Linked DNA regions of Lytechinus pictus. Each later gene encodes a partner of the first gene's protein in a complex. Links are inferred from orthologs where the notes say so. Each region holds a gene or a part of one and is shown in the gene's direction. Other genes may lie near its edges. The genes, in order: F-box and leucine-rich repeat protein 13-like, dynein regulatory complex subunit 3-like and dynein regulatory complex protein 8-like.

What was found.
Region 2: F-box and leucine-rich repeat protein 13-like (region 1) and dynein regulatory complex subunit 3-like share a complex: the UniProt entries of both Homo sapiens proteins name them as parts of the nexin-dynein regulatory complex. The link is inferred for Lytechinus pictus from reciprocal best matches to the Homo sapiens genes FBXL13 and DRC3.
Region 3: F-box and leucine-rich repeat protein 13-like (region 1) and dynein regulatory complex protein 8-like share a complex: the UniProt entries of both Homo sapiens proteins name them as parts of the nexin-dynein regulatory complex. The link is inferred for Lytechinus pictus from reciprocal best matches to the Homo sapiens genes FBXL13 and DRC8.

The regions. Positions count from the first base shown.
Region 1 is NC_087249.1:13,414,994-13,422,247, forward strand, and holds the start of F-box and leucine-rich repeat protein 13-like, read left to right. Parts: upstream 1-4,197; 5' UTR 4,198-4,299; coding exon 4,300-4,448; intron 4,449-4,846; coding exon 4,847-4,956; intron 4,957-6,021; coding exon 6,022-6,175; intron 6,176-6,996; coding exon 6,997-7,126; intron 7,127-7,254. Other genes in the region: uncharacterized protein K02A2.6-like, read right to left, coding at 1-1,534. UniProt on the Homo sapiens protein: Substrate-recognition component of the SCF (SKP1-CUL1-F-box protein)-type E3 ubiquitin ligase complex.
Region 2 is NC_087254.1:18,111,245-18,118,561, forward strand, and holds the start of dynein regulatory complex subunit 3-like, read left to right. Parts: upstream 1-4,292; 5' UTR 4,293-4,382; intron 4,383-5,128; exon of another isoform or gene 5,129-5,179; intron 5,180-6,924; 5' UTR 6,925-6,989; coding exon 6,990-7,149; intron 7,150-7,317. UniProt on the Homo sapiens protein: Component of the nexin-dynein regulatory complex (N-DRC) a key regulator of ciliary/flagellar motility which maintains the alignment and integrity of the distal axoneme and regulates microtubule sliding in motile axonemes.
Region 3 is NC_087251.1:23,721,071-23,728,369, forward strand, and holds the start of dynein regulatory complex protein 8-like, read left to right. Parts: upstream 1-4,289; 5' UTR 4,290-4,369; coding exon 4,370-4,400; intron 4,401-5,659; coding exon 5,660-5,744; intron 5,745-6,626; coding exon 6,627-6,779; intron 6,780-7,264; coding exon 7,265-7,299. UniProt on the Homo sapiens protein: Component of the nexin-dynein regulatory complex (N-DRC), a key regulator of ciliary/flagellar motility which maintains the alignment and integrity of the distal axoneme and regulates microtubule sliding in motile axonemes.

The DNA.
Region 1 (7,254 bases):
CTCCGCAAAGACGAACACCTCCATCGGCTTTCGGCACCACTACGATCGGAGTTGCCCAGTCGCTGTAGTCTGTCTTTACGATGACTTTGTTTTTCTCAAGGTTTCTTAACTCTTTCTCAACTTCTTCTTTCAGTGCGTACGGTACTGGTCGCGGTCTACAGTAGACTGGAGTTGAATTCTCCTTGATTCTTACATGCGCTTCCACACCAGAAATCCCTTCATAGCTGTCTTCAAACATTCCGCTATACTGTCGGAGTAGACTCTGCAATTTTGAAGACTCAACATGGAACACGTTATTCCAATCTAACTTCAACTTAGTCAGCCAGTTCTTACCCATCAGTGTAGGACGATTCGTGTAGCTTGTTACCATCATGGGCAACAACAATTTATTCCCTTCATAGGTGACTTCACATTCAAATTCACCACACAAGTCCAACTGCTGACCAGAATATGTTCTGAGTTCTAATGAATTTGGTCTCAAAGGTACATCACTGAAGTTTCTCTCATATGTGTCCTTACTCATAATAGAACAATCTGCCTGGGTGTCAATCCTCATAGTCAAGGATTTCTTGTTGATTACAACTTCTGTTTCAAACTTATTGATCGAATCTGTAGCATACACACAATACAAATTCGAATTATGTTGCATAGATTTCTCTAGATCATCAGTTTCATCCAACGCATGAACTTCAGCATTACCGCCAGTTCGACGCGATTTACCTTTACTCGGTACACTAGTCTTTCCTCTATTTGACTTACAAGCTTTAGCTATATGTCCCTTCATCTCGCACTTGAAACATTGTGAACCTTTAATTGGACATTCTTGAGGTGGATGATTTCTGGAATTACAGCGATAACAGTTTCCATGCTTTTTACTTTCAGCATTAGAGGGTTTGGGTTTACCTCCACGACTAGTTGGTTTAGCTTTACGGGTGTAACTTTTCTGACTATTCACACTTCCAGCATTATGAACAGAACGAAGTTCACGAGCATTTATTGATGCCATCTCCATCGACAACGCAATTTGGCAGGCTTTATCAAAATCTAAATCTTGAGTATTCAACAGTTTGTTCTGAATTTGTTCATCAGCCAACCCGCAAACAAATCTGTCTCGCAAAGCTCTATTCAAGAAAGATCCATAATTACAATGTAAGGATAAATTCTTTAAGGCAATGATGAACTCACCAACTGTTTCACCTTGTTTCTGATTTCTTGTTCCAAACTTGTAACTTTCAGCTATCTCTAACGGCTTAGGATCGAAATGATTCTTCAACTTATCGATGATGTCGTCAAATGTTGCATCTTTCGGCTTGCTAGGCGCTAACAAATTTGCGAGGGTTACGTAGATTTCTGTTCCAATTTCAGTTAGTAAAATTGCCTTTTTCCGTTCCTTCACGAATTCAGCATTCTGGGAAGTTTCAACGATGTTATTGGCCATGAAAAACAGTTCCATACGTTCGACATATGAAGTAAAAGGTTCGCGAGCCTTCTCAAAGCTCCCTAGCCGTCCGATATAGCCACTGGGCGTCGCCATGTTGTATCACGCATTGACTGAATACACGTGCGAATACCATGTGCGAATACACGAAGACTTCCTTCCTAGTTCCATCAACTGTACGACGGTAACTTTAAAGTTGAATTAAGAAGACGATTCCAAATATTGAGATATTTACATTAATAGCAACCTTACAACCCCCCAAACACTAATAGGTGATTCGACCCCCCATTTTCTTTTTTCAAAATAGTGAATTTGAACGATTTATCCCTACCCATTTTCCCTGAGTTCGCTCCTGCAATGCCTACCGAGACGGGTGTTCTTTGAGTGTGACGTCACCGGGGGGTAAAGCAGTGCCGTTTTGTGTACTATGCACGTACTCCTTCATATGGAATAACTGCAGTTGAAGTTGTATCTGCGAGCCATAGAACTTGCAAAGAGGAAATGATTAAAATATTTGTGGCCGTACTATTATTCCAAATATGTGAATTCCCTCAGAATGATACCATAGACCCTAAAGGAATAATTTCAAGGTGAATAATATGAAATTTGATCGAGATCTTCTCACCAGTCGATAACGTAGCAGACGTGTTATTATGACATATTTATCCGCGTGTGACGCGGCTCTTGAAAAAAAAAACACAGTTGGTTGCGGAATTGCTTTGTGCCGACCGGCCGCCCGCTCCGGCGCAGCTAGCTGTCGAGCGACCGCACCGTTCTTGTTGTCTTCAACCATAGAGATGTATACTAATTACTATATATATCTTTCTGTCTTCAACTCACTTGCGAATTGCGTTTGTATGTGTGACGGTGACCCCTAGCGTAATTAAATATAGAAAACAACCCAGAAGGCCGAGAAAGAATACTATACGTTTGGTTCAAGATTGTTCTGTGGAATGAGCTATGAGTGGAAATGATCCAGAGGATATAAAAGTGGAGTCAATTAAAGACAAAAGAAAAGAAGAAAAAACGCCAGGGGATCGCTGCACGGCCATGAACTAAGTCGACATACCAGACCATAACAGTACACTCAATGCCTAGCTGGGTGTTGTGTGTACTAGTATTATGCGTTCAGCGCGCGCTGAGCTCGCCGCCGGAATTACTTTCCAGCTACTCACTTGATTGAACATCGTGATAAAATAAATGAGAAATAATGAAAATATCATTCAATAACTCACTGTTTGCTATCTTACATCATGATTGAAGAGTTCATGGTGGTTATTCATACTGTTTTTTATACAGGGAAAGTAAAGATTTGTACATATCAGTCATATTTGTTTGATTTGAGTTGCTTTGAAAAAAATTTGTAAAATATCTTTCTCTCTCTGCATAGCATTTCTGTATGACATTCAGGCACCTCTTATACTAAATTCCCCCCGGTGACGTCACACTCCGAGTGACTTTTCTGTACACTCGTCTCTCGGGCTCTGACAGGTGGCTAATTTCATAGACTTTCAAAGCAAAATATCGAGAAGGCAGAGGATTTTTGTGACATGCTATCTGTTTGAACAACTTATATATACTATATATTGTATGTAGAACCTATATTTATGGAAACTCACCCCCTTCTTAATTCAACTTTAACCAGAAAATGTCACTTTATGACCTCAAAATTAGGATCAAACTTTCGTCTCACAGATTAGCAGTCCCTTGACCAGCAAAATGAAGACTTTAAGGCTTTCGTAGACTCTTTTCTGAGCATCCTCGTTGCCAATTTGTAACATACTCAGAAGAACAGCTTCCTATATGTTTTTTTTAACTACAAATATTGATGTAAATGAAGTCAACAAAGAGATCCTAAGTTACTACAAGTACTGTACAAAAGGGAAATGCCAGAGTATAAGTAGTATTCAAAGTTTGGTGCCTTTGTTAAAGTTAAGGTGCCAGGTGCCCTATTACCGTGCGGAAACGACTACGGGTATATAATCAAGCATAGGATTCTTACTAAGTACCTGTACCCCAACAAACTATATATTTTTGGAAAGCTTATGAGCTGATCTACACAAAAATTTGCACTGTGGCATATTAGCTTTATGCATAAGCAAAATATGGTCATTCAAAGTCATGACTTTAAAAATCATGATTTTTCTCTATATGAACTTTCTATGGTTATAACTTCACAACATAGAGTGTAATTTAAGTTTTGATGGATTAATTTAATTCTCTGACTTCTTTGTGATGAATTTATGATGGCTTTAAGAAATATTCAGAGTAGAATTGTAAAAATTATGGATTAAACAAGCAGTCAGATAATGAGAAATTCAGAAAGGACTTTTATACACAACTCCACCTGTGGGGGTACCATGCACAAAAACTATCATTATTTTGTTGTACTCTTCAAGATACACAATTCTACAAAATTTCATGCAAATCCAATGATTAGAACTCGAGTTATTACATTTTTCATTAAAAAAACCTCAATTTTGTATAATATCACGATAAAGAAAGGGCTATAATACTAATAATAACGGACATTTGTAACGCGCCAAGTCTGTCACATAGTGTATGTAACTTGTAGTCGCTGCCATATTGTGCAATACAGTAGCTCTCCCTATTTGGCCAACAGAGGGTGGTAGTCCACTTTGCTACATGGAATATCTGGGGCTTCAGCCAAAAAAAATCTGGGGATTTTCTGATTTTTTTTAAGGCAGTATCAAAGGTTTTGGGGACAGATTTAATCACTTCCGGTGTGTAAAATACTACTTCCGGTTTGAGAATTTTATGAAAATATGTTTTAACCCCCCTCTTATTAAAAAAAGAGGTAGAATATTGAGATAAAACAAGTTGCATGATGAAGTACACACATGAAACTAGCAAAGGAGACCAAAAAAATAAAATCATTAAAAAAAAAAAAAATTAGGGCACCTGTCACCTTAAATTTATTTTGTAAGTTCATTACTTTCCCTCTTTTAATTTTTTCCTCACAGGTTGACCTGTCAAAGACAAAGAACATGTAAGTGTGTTTGTTTGTTTGTTTCTTTGTTTTTTGTTTATTGTTTGTTTATCACAGCTTCAAAGCCTTTACACAATTCTGGTGAGCAAGGGTATAATAATAATAATAATAATGATAATCTTCCAAAGGTAAACTAAGTGATAGAATAGAGTCCAACAGCTAAAATTAACTCTCAATTGTTCTGTAAGTAGATTAAATGCTCAAACTTAAAAACTGATTTTCTCAAAAAGTTTTTTACGGGGGCGAATTTGCAGATGGACTCTTTTGCCAGGCTGGAGCCGAGCTATAGAAGCTCAATGGTGTGTAAACATATATTATTTGCCAAATGTTGGGATTCTGTTTTCCTGTCTTCTTTAAAGATTTTGTTTCTATTTAAATTCAATGTTCTCCCTTGGCAGTGTGACTGACAATGTAGTGACAAGTCTCCTTCAGCATTACAGGCCCTATGTTGTTCATCTCAACATCAAAGGATGCAAAATGCTCACCAAACCAAGCTTCAAAGCCATTGGTAAGCATTTACTATCGTACAACGCCTACTTAGCTTGTTGTACGCGAGCAAATGGGAGGCTGAATGTCAAACATTCTTACAGTTGCACACATGACGTACCATCCAAAATGTACCGTTGCACGGCTTTAGGAGTTGACGTCACAATACGATTTAATTCATTGCGCTCAGTAAAAATTAAGGTGCAATACACGTATAGCCTGCTGGCTAAATGCGCAATGCTGCCCAAGGTCACGTGCGCTTGTGGGATTTTGCTTTTCGCTTTTTAATAATTTTGCTCCCTTTTCATTCTGAGGCTTTAAACAACACAAATAGCGAATATTCGTATTCGTGCAATGGTGCGAGATTTCGCATTCGGTGAAAGAAAGAGACGCTCTATTCAACTCAGGCTAATGCCTCGTTGAATAGAGGATCTTTCTTTCACCTCATGTGAAATTTCGCACCATTGCACTCATGCCTATTCGCTATTTGTATATTAATAGCTGGATTCTTACCACTAACAGCATGGTTACCCTGGGTAGCCACTACAATTCTGAAAACTGTTCTCCCAGCGGGCCCTGCTATTATTATTGCCCCGGCCTTAGCTGGGCTGTCTAGGCACTCAAGCATTTGAGGAAGCTCTTCCTAATGGGTACCCATTCACCTCATTTGGGTTGAGTGCAGCACATTGTGGGTAAATTTCTTGCTGAAGGAAACATGACATGGCTTGTAATCGAACCCACATCCCTCAGATTGAAACATAAAGAGTCAAAACCACTAGAGGATACAAAGCGCAACTTAAAAAATAATCAAATAACAAAAATCTTTGTATGAGTTGTATAATTTATAACTAATTGTATAATAACTCACTATCATTCTGTAACTATTCAACAAAAATATTTGTTTTTGTTGTACACTGTATAATTTGTATGATGTTTCTTTTTCTGTTTACACTACTATACTACAATTTTATTTATTAATAAAAAATGTATATGTTTGTGTCCTGAGAAGCTTGAAGACTCTGGAATACATTTTGCAATGCCCTTCCCCATTTCCTATTGATATCAAGTATGTATTCTCTTTTTGCAGGTCAATGTCGTAACTTGCAGGATTTAAACTTATCAGAATGTCCAGGACTGAATGATGATACTATGAAGTATGTAGCCGAAGGTTGTTCTGTCTTACTTTATCTCAATGTCTCCTTCACCAACATCACAGATGCTACACTGAGATTATTAGCCAGGTAAATGTGTTCTTTATTTGTCATAGGTAAATAGGTAAATACATCTACATGTATATGTGTATAATTCATGCCTTGATTTATTTCTGTCTTGATATTTGCAAGACTACTCGCTTTAATGCAATGTTTGCCCCCTTTTGAGCATTCAAGGAATTCCTTCCTCCCAGGTACTGATTTTCTACACCTGGGTGGAGAGTTGAAAATGTAAATAAAAAGCCTTAACCAAAGGACATGAATGCTTCTAAATTATACATTTTAAAAGGCAAAGGCAGCCATATCTCGTATTGCATAATATTATTTAAAAAATATGTGTAAGCAATCATAATCCTTTGAAACACACAAGACTATGAATGTCAAAACGTGGTTGGGCCCCAAAAGTAGATTTGGTTGCAGGACTAAAATTGTTTCATTCATCAAAAGATTTTAAAGCATTCAGTCAACTGCATTATTTATCTAACTCTGAAAAATGCGTAGTATGTATCAGGTTTGACAATTATATGTGGAACGTTGTGGCACAGTGGATTATTCTCCGGACTTTGAAACAGAGGGTAGAGTGTTCAGTTCCCAGCCATGGCGTAATTACCTTCAGCAAGAAATTGATCCACAATGTGCTGCACTCAACCCAGGTGAGGTAAATGGGCACCTGGCAGGAGTTTTTTCCTTTGGATGCAGTGCACATAACAGCTGCTCTGCTAAAGCCTGGGTTATGCTGCATTTTAACTGTAGAGTGCTTAGAGGCTTCTGATAAAGTAAGTGTTAAGCACGATATTTAATAGCAATTATAATTACTATAATTACGTTTTTACAATGACTTGTTTATATAGGTGCTGCAGCAACCTACAGTACTTGAGCCTTGCATATTGCAAACGTTACAGTGACAAAGGGCTTCAATATCTTGGGACTGGCAAAGGAGGAAGGAGATTAGTCTATCTTGATATGTCAGGGTGTCCTCAGGTATGTTATATATTTTGGGTCTTGGGTCTAAAACCTATTAGAGCTGGGTTATTTTGACCCACATTACAGCCGGGAGGGGGGGGAACAGCTTCCACCTCCAACCCCCCCCCCCCCCCCAGCAAAAAAAT
Region 2 (7,317 bases), on another chromosome or scaffold:
TTATGACTTATTAAAGACTGGAGAACATTCGAAAAATTGCAGGATATTTTGTAAAATTGCAAGTACGGTACTTTTCGAGTAAATTCCAGGAAGTTCCGTTTTGAAAAGTGGAAGCACTGAGCACCACTGATATCTGAATAGTAGGCCTATACAGATCAGTGGGCAGCGCCCAACACTTGGGGGGAGCAACGGATCGCAAGTTTCATTTCATTTCCACAATTCCGAAACGTTAGAAAACGTTGATATAATAACATAACGCTAAATAGGGTACTAAAAATACAAAAAATATTTTAAAAAGAGGAGGAAAAAAAGGACCTCCCATTTTGAAGATGAATTTGATCAGATCTAGTCATTAACTACTCATTTTCGTTTCATGGCGGTGGCCTAATATCTTTTAAGGATACTGCCTTCAATTTAAAGGCTAAACTCAGGGGCTGATCCAGCTCCCGCCAATAGGGGGGGGGGGGCCGAAATTTTTTTCACCCATATTTTCCCCGATCGGCCGCTCAATGTTGATTTTTGTTTGTTTCTTTGAAGGGGTTGTCTCGGTGGCGTAATGAGCCAGTTTTGAGGGGCTTGATACGGCATATTGTGTAAAATTAATGAGAAGTTGCGAGCGAGCGAGCAAAAATTTTGACATTTTGATTACAAAAATCAAAGTTTGTGATAGATTTTTGACATAACATTTGACAAATATAGGCATATATATCACTTATCCCTTTTCTTTTCTCCCCATTTTTCTTGGTCGTGAACAATTGGGGGGGGGGGCAAAACGCCGATATCCTAACAGTCATTTCTTAGCTTTATTTTTATAAAACAACATAAAAATGTAATAATCTCTTCAGCCCTATTTGAATAATACAAGCGCAAAGCGCGAGCTGAAATTTCATGTATTTTGTCCTGAAAATTGAATATTCTGGGCAATGTTTGTGAACCTGAACAAGATGCGTATGTAACTAGATAATTACTGCGATAGCGAAGCCCGAGCAGAAATTTTCAAAATTGGTTCTGGCTTGATCGAAAAAGGACCTGTTAAGACCGATTTGCAGTTAGCCATTAAGACGATACATATTTCAACATTTAGATAATGCGAGAGCGAAGCGCGAGCTGAAAATGTTTTGACATTGCGAGCTATAAAATTGACATTCTAAGCTCTTTTTAAAATAAACGGCATTGGTGAAAAAAAACTAAACAATTGATGCGAGCGCAAAGCGCGAGCGAAAAAAAGATATTTCAGACCTAAAAATGGGACACTCTATTCATTTTTTCTAAATCATGAAAAAAGAAGTTCTTACATTAATAATGCGAGCGCAAACTGGATAATTTTAGCACGTTTTGAATAAAGATCAAGCTGCATATCTCAATAAACATGTGTGCGCCTGTTTTAGAGTTAGACAGAATCTGAGCATTCTGAATACATTTAATTTTTATCATGAAAATTGATAATGTGATCGCGAAGCGCGAGTGGAAAATATTTGATATTCCGATATAAAAAGGGTGAATTTAAATACTATCTAAAGCACTGTGCAGGGAAATTGTGAAGTATATGTGGATAACACTTAATAAATGATGCGAGTGCGGAGCGCTATAGCTGATATTTTTATTATTATTCTGACCTAGGACCTGGACATTCTAAGCCTAAGGACATTTTGTCATCATATGAAAATGATGACTATCTTCATATTCCTCTTCCTAAGCGCGATATGAAACTTGTCGAAATTCCTTTCTGAAACAAGGGACAATTTAGTTATTAGGAATTCATTAAAATTTTATTATCATATTTATTAATATAATAAGCCTAATTAGTGAGTAAAAATTTGTTGATATTAGAGGCCAGAAGACTGAATATTTCAAGCACTTTTGTAAGCATGAATAGGATTTATGAGTTGATATATTTTTAACTACTAATGCGAGCGCAAAGCGCGAGACTATTTTTTTTAAACTGTCGTAAAAGGGGGATTTTGAGTAGTTTGTTATAGAATTGATATATTTATAAAGGATCTTATGGAATACACAAAGACAATATGTAGGCCTACTTGGCAAAGCAAATAATGCGAGCGCACAGCGCAAAAAGCTGCAAATGAAAATTACACCATAAAACAGGCATTTCACAGAGCACTTAAAAAAAAATCAATTTTTAAATAAAAAATAATAATAAAAGCTCGATGTCCGAGCTGAAAAAATGTATTGACTTAAAAAAACTTGATATTTTAGCTACACATCAGCCTATTGAGCAAGATATGTATCACATCGAACACGGGCTATGCGAGCGCGAAGCGCGAGCGAAAATCTTATAAAGTCACATGAAATATATATTTTCAAATTATATTCCAAGTCTTTCCCTGACCTTATTTTATTCACTCGTCTCCCTCCTCTTATTTTTCCTCTTCTTTTGTTCTCCTTTCTTTCCCCTTCTTCTTCTTTCTTTCCCTTTTTCCCCTTTTTTTTGCTCCGCCAATAGGGGGGGGGGGCCTGGATCCGCCTATGAAACGTATTTGTTAATGCGAGCCGTCTGTGAAATAGGGCCTACGTCTATTCGACTGTAATTCCTATCGACTGAAATTTGGGGATTTCTGTGTTGCCTTTTTAAAAATTATTTATTTAGATCTTTTTTTTTTGGCTCTTTACAATGGTTTGTTAGCTTATGGGAGAGAATCGTCTCGTCCCACCGTGCCGTCTCGAAAAATTTTTCAGCCATATTTTCCCCGATCGGCCGCTCGATCGTAGTTGATTATATTTGTGCCTTATAGCCACTTCTTAGCTTTATTCTTATAAATCAACATAAATATATTATACTGTCATATTCCTTGTTTAGATAGTGCGAGCGTGATCGGAGCGCGAGCTAATTTCTTTTAAAATTTCATGTAGCACCCTATTCTGTCCTAAGATTCTGAACAGATGTGTATGCAACTGAATAATTACTGCGAGCGCGAAGCGCGAGCAAAAACTTTAAATATACGTTTTGATCTGATCGAAAAGTGACATCATGCTTGCAGTTAATTAAACATGAAGACGTTACATAATTTCAACAATCAAATAATGCGAGCACAAAGCACGAGCTGAAAATTTTTGACATTTCTACCAAAATTCCAAGCACTTTTTGTAATCGTGAACAGGATAGGTAGGTTTTACATAACCAAAGAATTGATGCGGAAAAATTCGAGATTTAGACCTAAAAACGGGACACTCTATTCATGCTTTGTAAACCATTAAAATGATAAGTAATTGGGGATCTTCCAACATTCATAATGCGAGCGCAAAGCGCGAGCCAAAAATTTTTGATATTCTGATCTTAAACTGGATAATGATTTAAAAAGAGAACAAGCTGTCTATCTGAATAAACATGCGCGCGTGTGTTTCCGATTTACTGGGTATTCTGAATGCATTTTTTTTAGGCAGACTGAAATAAAAAGAAATGTTTCATCGTCTATTTTTATTTTTACATTTTATATATATATATATATATATTTTTTTTTTTTTGGGGGGGGGGTGGTATTTCTCTTCATGCTCAGGGTTCGCGAAGCGGGGGGGGGGGGGCTGGGGGGCTTCAGCCCCCACTTTTTCCAAAACCGTGTACAAAATCGTAAAAATGACCACATGATTGTGATTTTTTGCATGGTCATGCAGCCCCCCCCCCCACTTTGAAAACCGTTCCGCGGCCCCTGATGCTATTCGTACTTCATGCCAGGGGTGGCTAATGGGGCCTTGTGAGACTTCCCCTTGTCCACAACTAAATGACTGTTTCTGGGGTTTTTTTTTTTGGGGGGGGGGGGAATTGTCTGTTTGTTTTCTTGTCAAAAAATTGAAAATTGAAAATATGCCTACATCCAGTATCCAGTCCATTTTTGATACCTCAAGTCAACTTAAAGTGGAAAGTAAAAAAGTCATATTTTAATGATGATAAGCCTACTGTTAATATGACATAATATAATCATATTACAAGTAAAAAGATCAACACAGTAAAATGAATAATATTCAAAACGAAATCAGAAGAATTGATATAGGGAGAGGGGGTTAACTAAAAAGCAGATCGAGCTGCTTGTACTGTGTATGCCCCCTGTAATATTAAAATACATGTATATCATATTAATTTTGTATTAAGAAAACAAACAAAAAAACGACTTAATGAATGAAATACGTAATAAAAATCATTGATAACTATGATAGTCTCAAGTTCTAAAAAGGCAAGCCCCCCCCCCCCCCCAAAAAAAACATTTCGATAGTACAGTATTAGTCGCTATCTGACCGCGTTTTTACATACGACTACGAGCGTGCTCATAATTCCGATCGCACTTATTGGTCGCTCATTTTAATCGCTCCATGACAACAATTGACGCCACATCAAGCAGTCCGTCCGGTCGGATTTAGGCATTATTAATTCTGTAAGTTATGACATTTGAGTTATATTGAATCAATTTTGTAATAATACTCAGTATTATCGAACGGTGAAATATGTTGGATTCCTGAAAGTCTATCACGGTTGAGGTTATTTTCAGTTGATCAATAGATGGAAATATTAAGATTTTAGTTCGGTCCCACGTGCAGAAATTTTTGTAAATGTAAGGCCCACGGCCATATTCTTTCTAGAACAAGATGAATAATTGAATCAATTGGCGGAGCTAAAAAAGGGGAAAGGGAGAAAAAAAAAGGAGAAGAGAGGAGAAAAGAAAAGAAGAGGGGGAAAAAAAAGCAGGAAGGTGATGAGTGATTAAGGTAAGGGGAAGGAATTAAAAAAAAAATTGATGACGATGTCACTGAAATTCAAAGTCAAACGGTCTAAAAAAAATTTTGCTCGCCCTCACATTGCATATTCGATGGAGTACATATCTGCTCAATTAATAGGCTAATATGGAGCTTAAAAAATCAAGCTTTGAAGTCAATAATAATATGCAAAACTTATTTCACTTTTCAGCTCGGACATCGAGCTTTCCTCATAATCACATTTTGTTTGGATTTAGTTTAGGCCTAGGCCTATAGTTAGATCTACAAGTTGATTTTCAAAAAGTGCTCTGTAATGTCTGTTTTCTTGTCTAAGTATCAACACTTACAGCTCGCACTCGTATTTCAGTCGTCAAGTACCTATTCTCTTTGTGTATTCCATAAAGTTCTCAAAATATCTCCTTTACAGGTCTGATTGTCAAGACCTATTAGCTAGCGCTGCTCAGTCGCATTTTGATTGGTGAGTAATGTAACCGGTACCTCTATAGTGTTAATAACAAACTATTTAAAATTCCCTTTTCATGACAGTTTATCAAATAGTTTAGCTCGCGATTTGCGATCGCATTAATTATTAAAAATATATATTAGCCCATGCGTCCTATTCATAATTACAAAGTGCGTAAAAGTCCAGTTTTCAGGCCTTAATTTCAACAAATTTCATTAGGTTTATTACATCAAAAAATAAGATAGAAACATTTTCATGACTTCCTTATAATTAAATTATCCCTTTTTTCAGAAGGGAATATCAGCAAGCATTATTATGCACTTAGGAAGAGGAATTGGTAGACAGTCATCATTTTCCATATGATGACAAAATGTCCTTAGAACGTCCCAGTCCTAGGTCAAAATAATAATAAGTTTAATAAAAATTTTAGCTCGCGCTTTGCGTTCGCACCATTTATTAAGTGCGATGCATATCCACTTCTCAATTTTCCTACTCAGTGCTTGAATTAGAGTTTAATTGACAACTTTTCAGATTGGAATACCAAATATGTTCAGCTCGCGCTTCGCGCTCGCATGATTGATTTTCATGATAAAAAATGTATTTAGGATGCCAAGATTCTAAGTCTAACACTTGCGCACGCATGTTTATTGAGACTCGCGACTTGTTCTTTATTTAAAACATGCTTAAATTACCCAGTGTCAGATCAGAATACCAAAGAATTTCTACTAGCGCTTCACGCTTGCATTATTAATGTAGGAAATACCCAAATTACCCATCCTTATCATGATTTACAAAACATAAAGAGTGTCCCGCTTTTGGGTCTAACTCTCTTTTTTTTTCCGCTCGCGCTTCGCGCTCGCATTGTTTAGTTATATACATATCCTATTCATGATTGCAAAAAGTGCTTAGAATGTCCATTTGTTCAGGTCAGGATGTCAAAAATTTTCAACTCGCTCTTCGTGCTCGCATTATTTGATTGTTGAAATATGTATCGTATTTATGGCTGACTGCAAACATTCCTTAACAGGTCCCTTTTTGATCAGACCAGAAAGTATACTGTACGAAAAATTTCTGCTCGCGCTTCGCGCTAGCAGTAATTATGTAGTTTCATACGCATCTTGTTCAGGATCACATACATTACCAAGAATATTCAATTTTCACGACAAAATACATGTAATTTACCCAAAAAAATAGCCCGCGCTTCGCGCTCGCACTATTTAAATAGAGCTTATGAGATTATTATATATTTATGTTGTTTTATATAGATAAGAAGTGACTACCCCTTCAAAGAACCAAACAAAAATCAATTTTGAGCGGGTGATCGGGAAAAATATGGGTGAAAACAAATTTCAGGCCCCCCCCCCCTATTGGCAAAGGCTAAATCTGCCCCTGGTGACGCATGTCTGCGCACCTAAATATTGACTGTAAAGCGGATTGAAGATTAAACCTGTCTTTCCTTAAAATTACACAAAAAGCTTTATTTCATATTATATTTTTTCTTATATTCTGGTCAAGAAGAAGCTAGTGATATAGTGCAAAAAATAAAACTTGTCCATAGATGATCATGGACTATGGCATGCCAAATTAATTAACTTCATAAAACTGTGATTTTTTTCAGATCTTGATGAAAAGTGTGCAAAAGAGACATCTACCAAATTTCATAGTAATTTATGAATTGGTTTTTGAATAATCATATGACTTTGTCTGCACATCTATTCATTTTGCACAGTAATTGAATTTTTTTTGCCTTCTATTTGCAGATCTCTGTGACCCTGTTAGGTTGATTAATTTTCTGGTGTTGATTGTGAGAAAGTGAATCGTCAATATGAGCCGGCTGTATGACACAGTGGAACCATCCGTAGTGGATGAGATAATGCTTCAGAAAGCTGTAGAGGAGCAAGGTCCTAAAGAAGAAGCAGGAAGAATAGCCAAGGCTGAAGGAATAGACTTTACAGATGTAACACAGCTCAGATTAGACTTCAAAAGTAAGGAAGTGTGTTCTGTGCTTTGAACATTGCCAACTCTATAATAATGTAAATTAATTATCTTATTGTCCCTACTAGACTTAAATAGTAAGGAAACATGTTAAAGGGGTTCTATGCTTTGAACAATGCCAAATCTGTATACTAAATTTGAATAAAAATATAATTTAT
Region 3 (7,299 bases), on another chromosome or scaffold:
TAGACTAAGTGGATTAGACCATTTGCCTTTAGACCAGTTGGCTATCGTGGAGCGTTGTGGCCTATAAAAGTGGATTAGTCTTCGGACTTTGAAACAGAGGGTCGTGGGTTCGAATCCCAGCCATGGCGTAATTTCCTTCGGCAAGAAATTCATCCACATTGTGCTGCACTCGACCCAGGTGAGGTGAATGGGTACCCGGCAGGATTTATTCCTTGAACGCTTTATCGCCTATTAATATGGCGGCTTAGTTATCATAATATTATACCAAGTATCAAAGCGCAGTTGAGTATATGCACATAGTAACTGCGCTATATAAATGGACATATTAGTATTATTATTATTATTATTGGACTAAATGGTAATAGACGTAATAAAAATGGACAAAGTGGCTATTGGGCCAATTGGCAAAAATGCAATAGACCAAATGGCTATTAGACCAATCGATAATAGACGAAATGGTTATTAGACCAACTGGCTATTGGACTAAATGGTAAATGGACGAAATGGTAATGGATAGTGGACCAACTGATGGTAGACGAAATGACATTAGACCATTTGGCAGTATATGGCAATAAACCGCCACTGCTGGATGGTAGCGGGGATCGGACGGGGAGGGATGCTGCATGCATATACCATACACAGTAAAAAAAAATAGCACGTTGTTTAAGCCTGTCACTCTAACAACAGGTTGTATAAACTTTTCTGTAATTTACTCTTTAAACAACTTGTTTAAAAAGTTTCAACAGCTGTTTAAAAAGTTTAAACGGTAGTTGTTAGAGTGACAGGCTTAAACAACTTGCTTAAAATTTTAAACAGCGTTTTTACAGTGTATACAGCACCTCCCAGACCGGGTTGACAAATAGGCAAAACAAATATTAATAATAATAATAAATGGTTATTACTCCCCAAAATAATGAGGGAGATTTGTAAACAATAACCCCCCCCTTTTTTGTTGGGGGGGGTGGCTTGTCGGAATTCTTTCTGACGACAAAACTCCAGCAATTGTACCCCAGTGACTGGTCGCCATTAATTTCCAACAAACAACAACCCAGTATTAAAAAATCTTTCACAGGGCCCTGAACGGCGTACACACCTGTTCTGATTTGTTCATTTTTTGTTTTTTTTTTCATATGATTTGGGGTAAAGTTTTTTTTTCGATTAAGGAAAAAGTGAAACGAACATTGATTTGGTAGTTGACAGTCATAATTTAGGTGCCAACCGAGATACAAATTAAACCAATTATCATAATACACAACAGCTGTGTATAATAGCTGCATGTATACACTTGATTGGGGGTTTGTGCATGTCTTGCAGGGACGGATCCAGCCTTTGCCAATAGGGAGGGGGGCGGACATTTTCTCAGCCATATTTTCCCCGATCGGCCGCTCGAAGATGATTTTTTGTTTATTTGAAGTGGTAGTCCTAATAGTCACTTCTTAGCTTTATTCTTATAAATCAACATAAAAAAAATAATATCATAATCCTTATTTATACAGTGCGTATAAAAAAAAGTTTACACTTAGAAAAAATCCTGTAAAATTATACATTTGTAATATCCTGAAGATTTTTCCACATTTTAACATTGGTACAGATCCATTTAAGCAAATTACGAACTGTCGAAAAATATTTCCGCTTGAGTGAGCACCACTTACTTTTGAAAAGTTAGTGAAAAATGATTTGCGCAGAACTTTAAAATTAGTTATGCGAATAAAAGTAGACCTTAATCATGAATAACACATTAAATTTAGCTAGTAAAATTGATTTGAAGATATCTTTTACCTTTTTTAACTTGTTTCCTTGCCCAAAACACTTTGAAGAGTGCATTGCGCCCCAACCTAATCCCCCACACACCCTTAAGGCCATCGTGACGATATTTGCTTTACACTGAGCTGTGATTTACTTGAAATGGCGTAGGCTTGAATTTCATTTTGTTAATCATTGTAAAGCTTGCAAAAAGTGTGGAGAAACAAGTATTAAATGAAAAATGAAATGTAAACCCACTTTAAATGATAAAAACTTAGTGAAAAAATGCTGGAGATGTCTGATATAAACTTTTGTTCAGATTCAGTTATTTCCTCAGATCCAGCTGGCACAAAAAGGGTAAAGGTTGTGCTTACTAAGTGTTGAAATTTCAATTTGGGTGGCAAAATTGTTACAAAATGCTTAAATGTATCCCTTTTATTTCAATTACTAAAAGTGCAAGGGAAATGTATGAGAAATATTTCGCAGGTTAAGTTTGATTTCGCCCTTTCCCCTTGACACAGCGTGAAAATGAGCATGTCTGCGCAAACAGATTTCTGCGAGCTTTACACAAATGGACAGTGTTCACTCAAGTGTAACATTCTGTCAAAATGTTTACTTTCATTGGATAGATGAGACCCAAACCCAAGAATATTTGTGAAAAAAATACCCACATGTTGTATATTTTTTTAATTCCCAGGGCTTTTTCAAAGTGTAAACTTTTTTTTGATACGCACTGCAATGCGAGCGCGAGCTAATTTTTATTTCATTTTATGTATTTTGTGACAAAATTTGAACATTCTGGGCAATAGTGAATAAAGAAGCTTTAATCGGAGGTAATAATAATTTGTAAACAAATTTTCGGCATTTTAGCTCCCATGTGTTCAAGATCGCATGCTCGATCTGTAATGAAAATCATAAGTCAGAAAAAATTGGAACCAGTGCATGGGATTCGAACCTGTCATCTACTGCTTGCCGGGCAGCGACTCAACCACCAGGCTATTCTGGTTCACGGCTAAGTAACGATGAACTGGAATTAAAATACCCTCTATCCTCTTCTTCTGACTCATTAATATTTTTTAATTATTTATTTTCTGACTCATTAATATGCAAATGCATTTACTATCTATTGTCCCCGGCGGACGGCATTTGCATATTAATGAGTCAGAAAAAAGAGGACAGAGGGTATTTGTATTCCAGTTCATTAACAATCAAAATAATGCGAGCGCGAAGCGTGAGCTATACCTAAAGAACGGAAATTCTAAGCACTTTTTGTAATTTAAACAGTGAAGATTATTGATGCAAGCGCGAAGCGCGAACGGAAAATTTCGAGATTAGACCTAAAAACGAGACACTCTATTCATGTTTTGTAAATCATGAAAAGGATGAGTATATAATTGGGGATCTTACCTTAAAGGGATGGTCCGGGCTGAAAGTATTTATACCTTAATTAATAAAATATAAGTCACTGAGCAAAATGCCGAAAATTTCATCAAAATCGGATAAAAAAAAACAAAGTTATTAAATTTTAAAGTTAAGCAATATTTTGTGAAAACAATCGTCATGAATATTCATTATGTGGGCTGATGATGTCAAATCCCCACTTGTTCTTTTGTATTTTATTATATGAAATTAGGTTTATTCAATTTTTTTTCCTCCAAGAACTAGAAAAATTGGATTGACAACTGATTTAGTGCATTAGATATTTATTGCTACAACTTATTTCATTATAAGGGAGATATATTATTCACACAAGTATGAAATAATGAAAAAATATTATTTTATGTATATAACATAAGAAAACGGAAAGTGGAGATGTGACATCATCAGCCCAGCTAATGAATATTCATGACGACTGTTTTCACAAAATTGCTAAACTTTAAAATTCAATAACTTAATTATTTGTTATCCGACTTTGATGAAATTTTCGGCATTTTGCTCAGAGAATTCTACTCTCTGTATTAAGATATAAATATTTTCAGCCCGGACCATCCCTTTAAGAAAATTGATCATTATTCTGTTATATTTTCATTCCAAATTATTCCGATCTATGGCTGTTGGACCATACGAAGTGAATTCTACTCATAGAGATATATACTACATCTCTATGATTCTACTCTATGTATTAACATATAAATATTTTCAGCACGGACCATCCCTTTAATAATTTGAGCGCAAAGCGCGAGCATAAAATGTTTATATATGTTTTGAACTGATATTGAAAAGGTAAAGAATGGAAAATTTTAATCGATTTTTTTAATGGTGAACAAGATAGCTATGTAACTGAACATTGATGCGAGCCCCCCCCCCACCCCCTGGATCCGCCTATGTTATAAACATTTTATCTTTCCTTATATTTTTTCTTCTTTACTTTTATATTTTTTACTTACATAGCAAAGCAGAAAGGGAGGTACGCAACTACGCACTGAGAAAACAAATTTCAAAAACAAAAACAAAACAGGACAAAAAAAACCCCAAAACAACACTTTTATTTGCTAGTCTTGTGTGAAAACTCACTGGTTGATCAAAGATTTAATCAGAGTCTGTGCATGCAGACTAGTTTGCCGGTACGGTAGCAACACATGCATATGATGTATATGTAAACAATCTCTCGATCGGCTAGCTCAAAATGGCACAGGCAGAAGAAAAAGAAAGTGCTGGTAAATATCGTTTACTTTTAGCTTGGTCATCTATATTTCTAACATAATGAACTTTGAAAATTATTTTGGGAATTGGTAGAAAGAAAAATGTCGTTACCCACGTATATCTGTAATGAAGTAAATTTAAAAACTTGCAATTGATTTCTCGTCGTGTTTGGAAACTGGCATGGCTCAGCTCAGGAGCGAGCCGCTCTCACGTACCGTACCGCCAACTAGCCCGTACCCCTATACCCAGCCGCGGCTGGCTGTCCGCTAGGCTTCTTACCACTTTACTGCGGCAGCTGGCAGCCCATGGCTAGCCACCGCACCAAGCAAGGCCAAGGGTAGACCAAAAGCTTCGGTCTCTGTTATGTTGGTTGTTCCGCTGAACTCCGTTGGCTCCACTCACCAATTACAGAGACCGAAGTTCTAACTCGATCTGTACAGGGACTCAATCAATGGCCATATTTGGCATAGGCTATATCATATGTTTATGTATTAAATTCGGATATACCAGGTCCAGGAAAGTGAAGTTGCGCGACAGCCGAAGTAAGTCACTGTTTTGTGTCCTTTTAAATTTATTTTCCCCGTTTTGGTGCATTTAAGGCCAAACAGAATAATAATCTTTATTTTGGTCCAGTTCTTTTCATATTTTATGAAATAAAGACAAAAATCGATGAGCACCATCGGGGGGGATTTTGCATTTTTAACCCCCTAATGGCAGCTGCACGATCGCGAGCCGTCTGTGTATGAGGAGAAATTTTAAAAAATGTTTTAAACTCCTCGAAGCAGACAGCTGCCAGCTGTCTATACTGTATACAAATGTATGACTTATATGACGGGTATATGATAGCCTGGAATTTCATTCCATATCATTATATACTTAGATCTTTAAAAAAAGTTTTATATGAAAGAACCAAATTCCGATCCATATGTTTATTTGATCGGACACCTATAAATAAAAATAAATTTTCCTTAAAAATAGCAAAATCCACAAAAATATTTTTTTCCCATATCACTGTTATCAGTTTGTGCACGGTAACTTGGGGTATAGTGCCCCAAAATAGAGCAATGAGAGAAAAATGTGATGACTGGTGCTCCTAAAGTTTAATATTTGAAGAAGTTGATCAAATAGGATTTCAAATTGTTGATTTGTTGAATGAATCAAGATGGGGATACCCCTATATACTGTCATTTATTGGGATTGAGCAAACTTGTACATTTAAATAAAGTTACAGGTAGATTTTCGCTAAGTAATATTTTTAATAACTTTAACACAGAATCACTGCTTGCGGATATTCAGAAGAAAATTACAGATGCATTTGATATCTTCGACCATGAGTCTAATAAGACTGTTGATGTTAGGTGAGTAAATGATTAAATATTGATTGAATCGAATATGATAATTGGGTAATGTTTGTAGCTTGTGGGTGGTATAGTTTCCTGTTTTAGTTTCATATATTTTCTCTTTATGTTGGGCAATCTTTTTGGACTAAATTCTTTCACTAAAGTAAAAAAACCTTTTTTCAAAGTACCATATTTCTCATTGATACATGTATGCTCAGGTGGACCTTGATTTGATGTTTCCTGAAAATTTTGTTTGGCTTTTGGGAATCTTTTTTAAGGTAGGGTAGTTAGTTGTACAAACCAATAAGCTTGGAAAGAGTGGTCTGAATTGGAAGCCTTACAGTCCTGACTGGACTTACGTATCAAAGGCCCGAATTCAGAACTTAGAACTTCTTTGCTTGGCTTTATAATGGCAACCAGTCAGAAATGATTTCTAATAGCTTCTTTTATATTCTTTTAGATTTTTCCCCCTTATTTTTTTTTCCAAGATGTATTTGCAGTGCTAGACTTGTCCCAAGACCCTCTTTTTTATTCAAGATTTATTCAGGGTCTATGCCTGCAGACAGGAGTAATGATACCTTCCTCTTATTTTTACTATTATTGAGTTAGGTTGAACAGTAATAGACAGAAGTATTGGCTGAAAGCGTAGGATATATAATAAAGTTGTGCAACCATAAGTGAAAACAGTTTTTTATTAGAAACTAAGATGTAGAACAGGATACTCATCCTACAATTAATCATGTATGCTAATAATGATATTAATTTTAATTGAGAAACCATATAAATTCACATTCAACTTTCCAAGTTGCTGTAGTTGTCATATTTACACTTGCGATTATCTTAATTACTGCATGTGATGTTGTTAATGTGATTGTTTTTTTTTTTCTTCATGTGTTACAGGGAGATTGGGACCATTATCAGGTCATTAGGTTGCTGTCCTAGTGAAGGTGAACTCCATGATCTTTTGTCTGAGATGGAAGAGGAGGAGCCCACAGGATACATCAAGTATGATCGTTACAAGCCAATCATGCGAGAAGTTCTCATGGAACGCAAGTAAGTTAAATGAGAGTGGAAGTATAGATGAGATGGATGACAATCTGGGTTGCAGGTGCATCAGTGCTCTTTATATCCTAACTTTACTCATCATTAAATCAGAATGTAAATTGTTAACTGACTGACATTCTCCTCCTCTTTCTTACTTATTGTCACTATCTAAACAATTGTATTAATGTCATCATCAAGATCATCAGGTCAGGTGTATCTTGCTATAATCTGAATACATTTATCATTTTTACCCCTAACTGCTATATCTTTTGATGGAAATTTTTGTATGACAATGTTTTCTAGCAAAAAGAATCAATGTAAAAGATAAACGTTATAAATTGTTTTGATGATGCTCCTTCTATAGTGTTTAAAAAGTTCAAGTATTAGAGAGAAAGATAACAGATGGGAATGACAGGGGATGTCATCATGTGTTGGGCAGTGTTTCATTTTCATATTTCGTCTTATTTTTATTTTTTGAAAATGTTTCTTTGAAGATTCAAGCCATCCCCTGAGGATCAGCTTGTCAAGG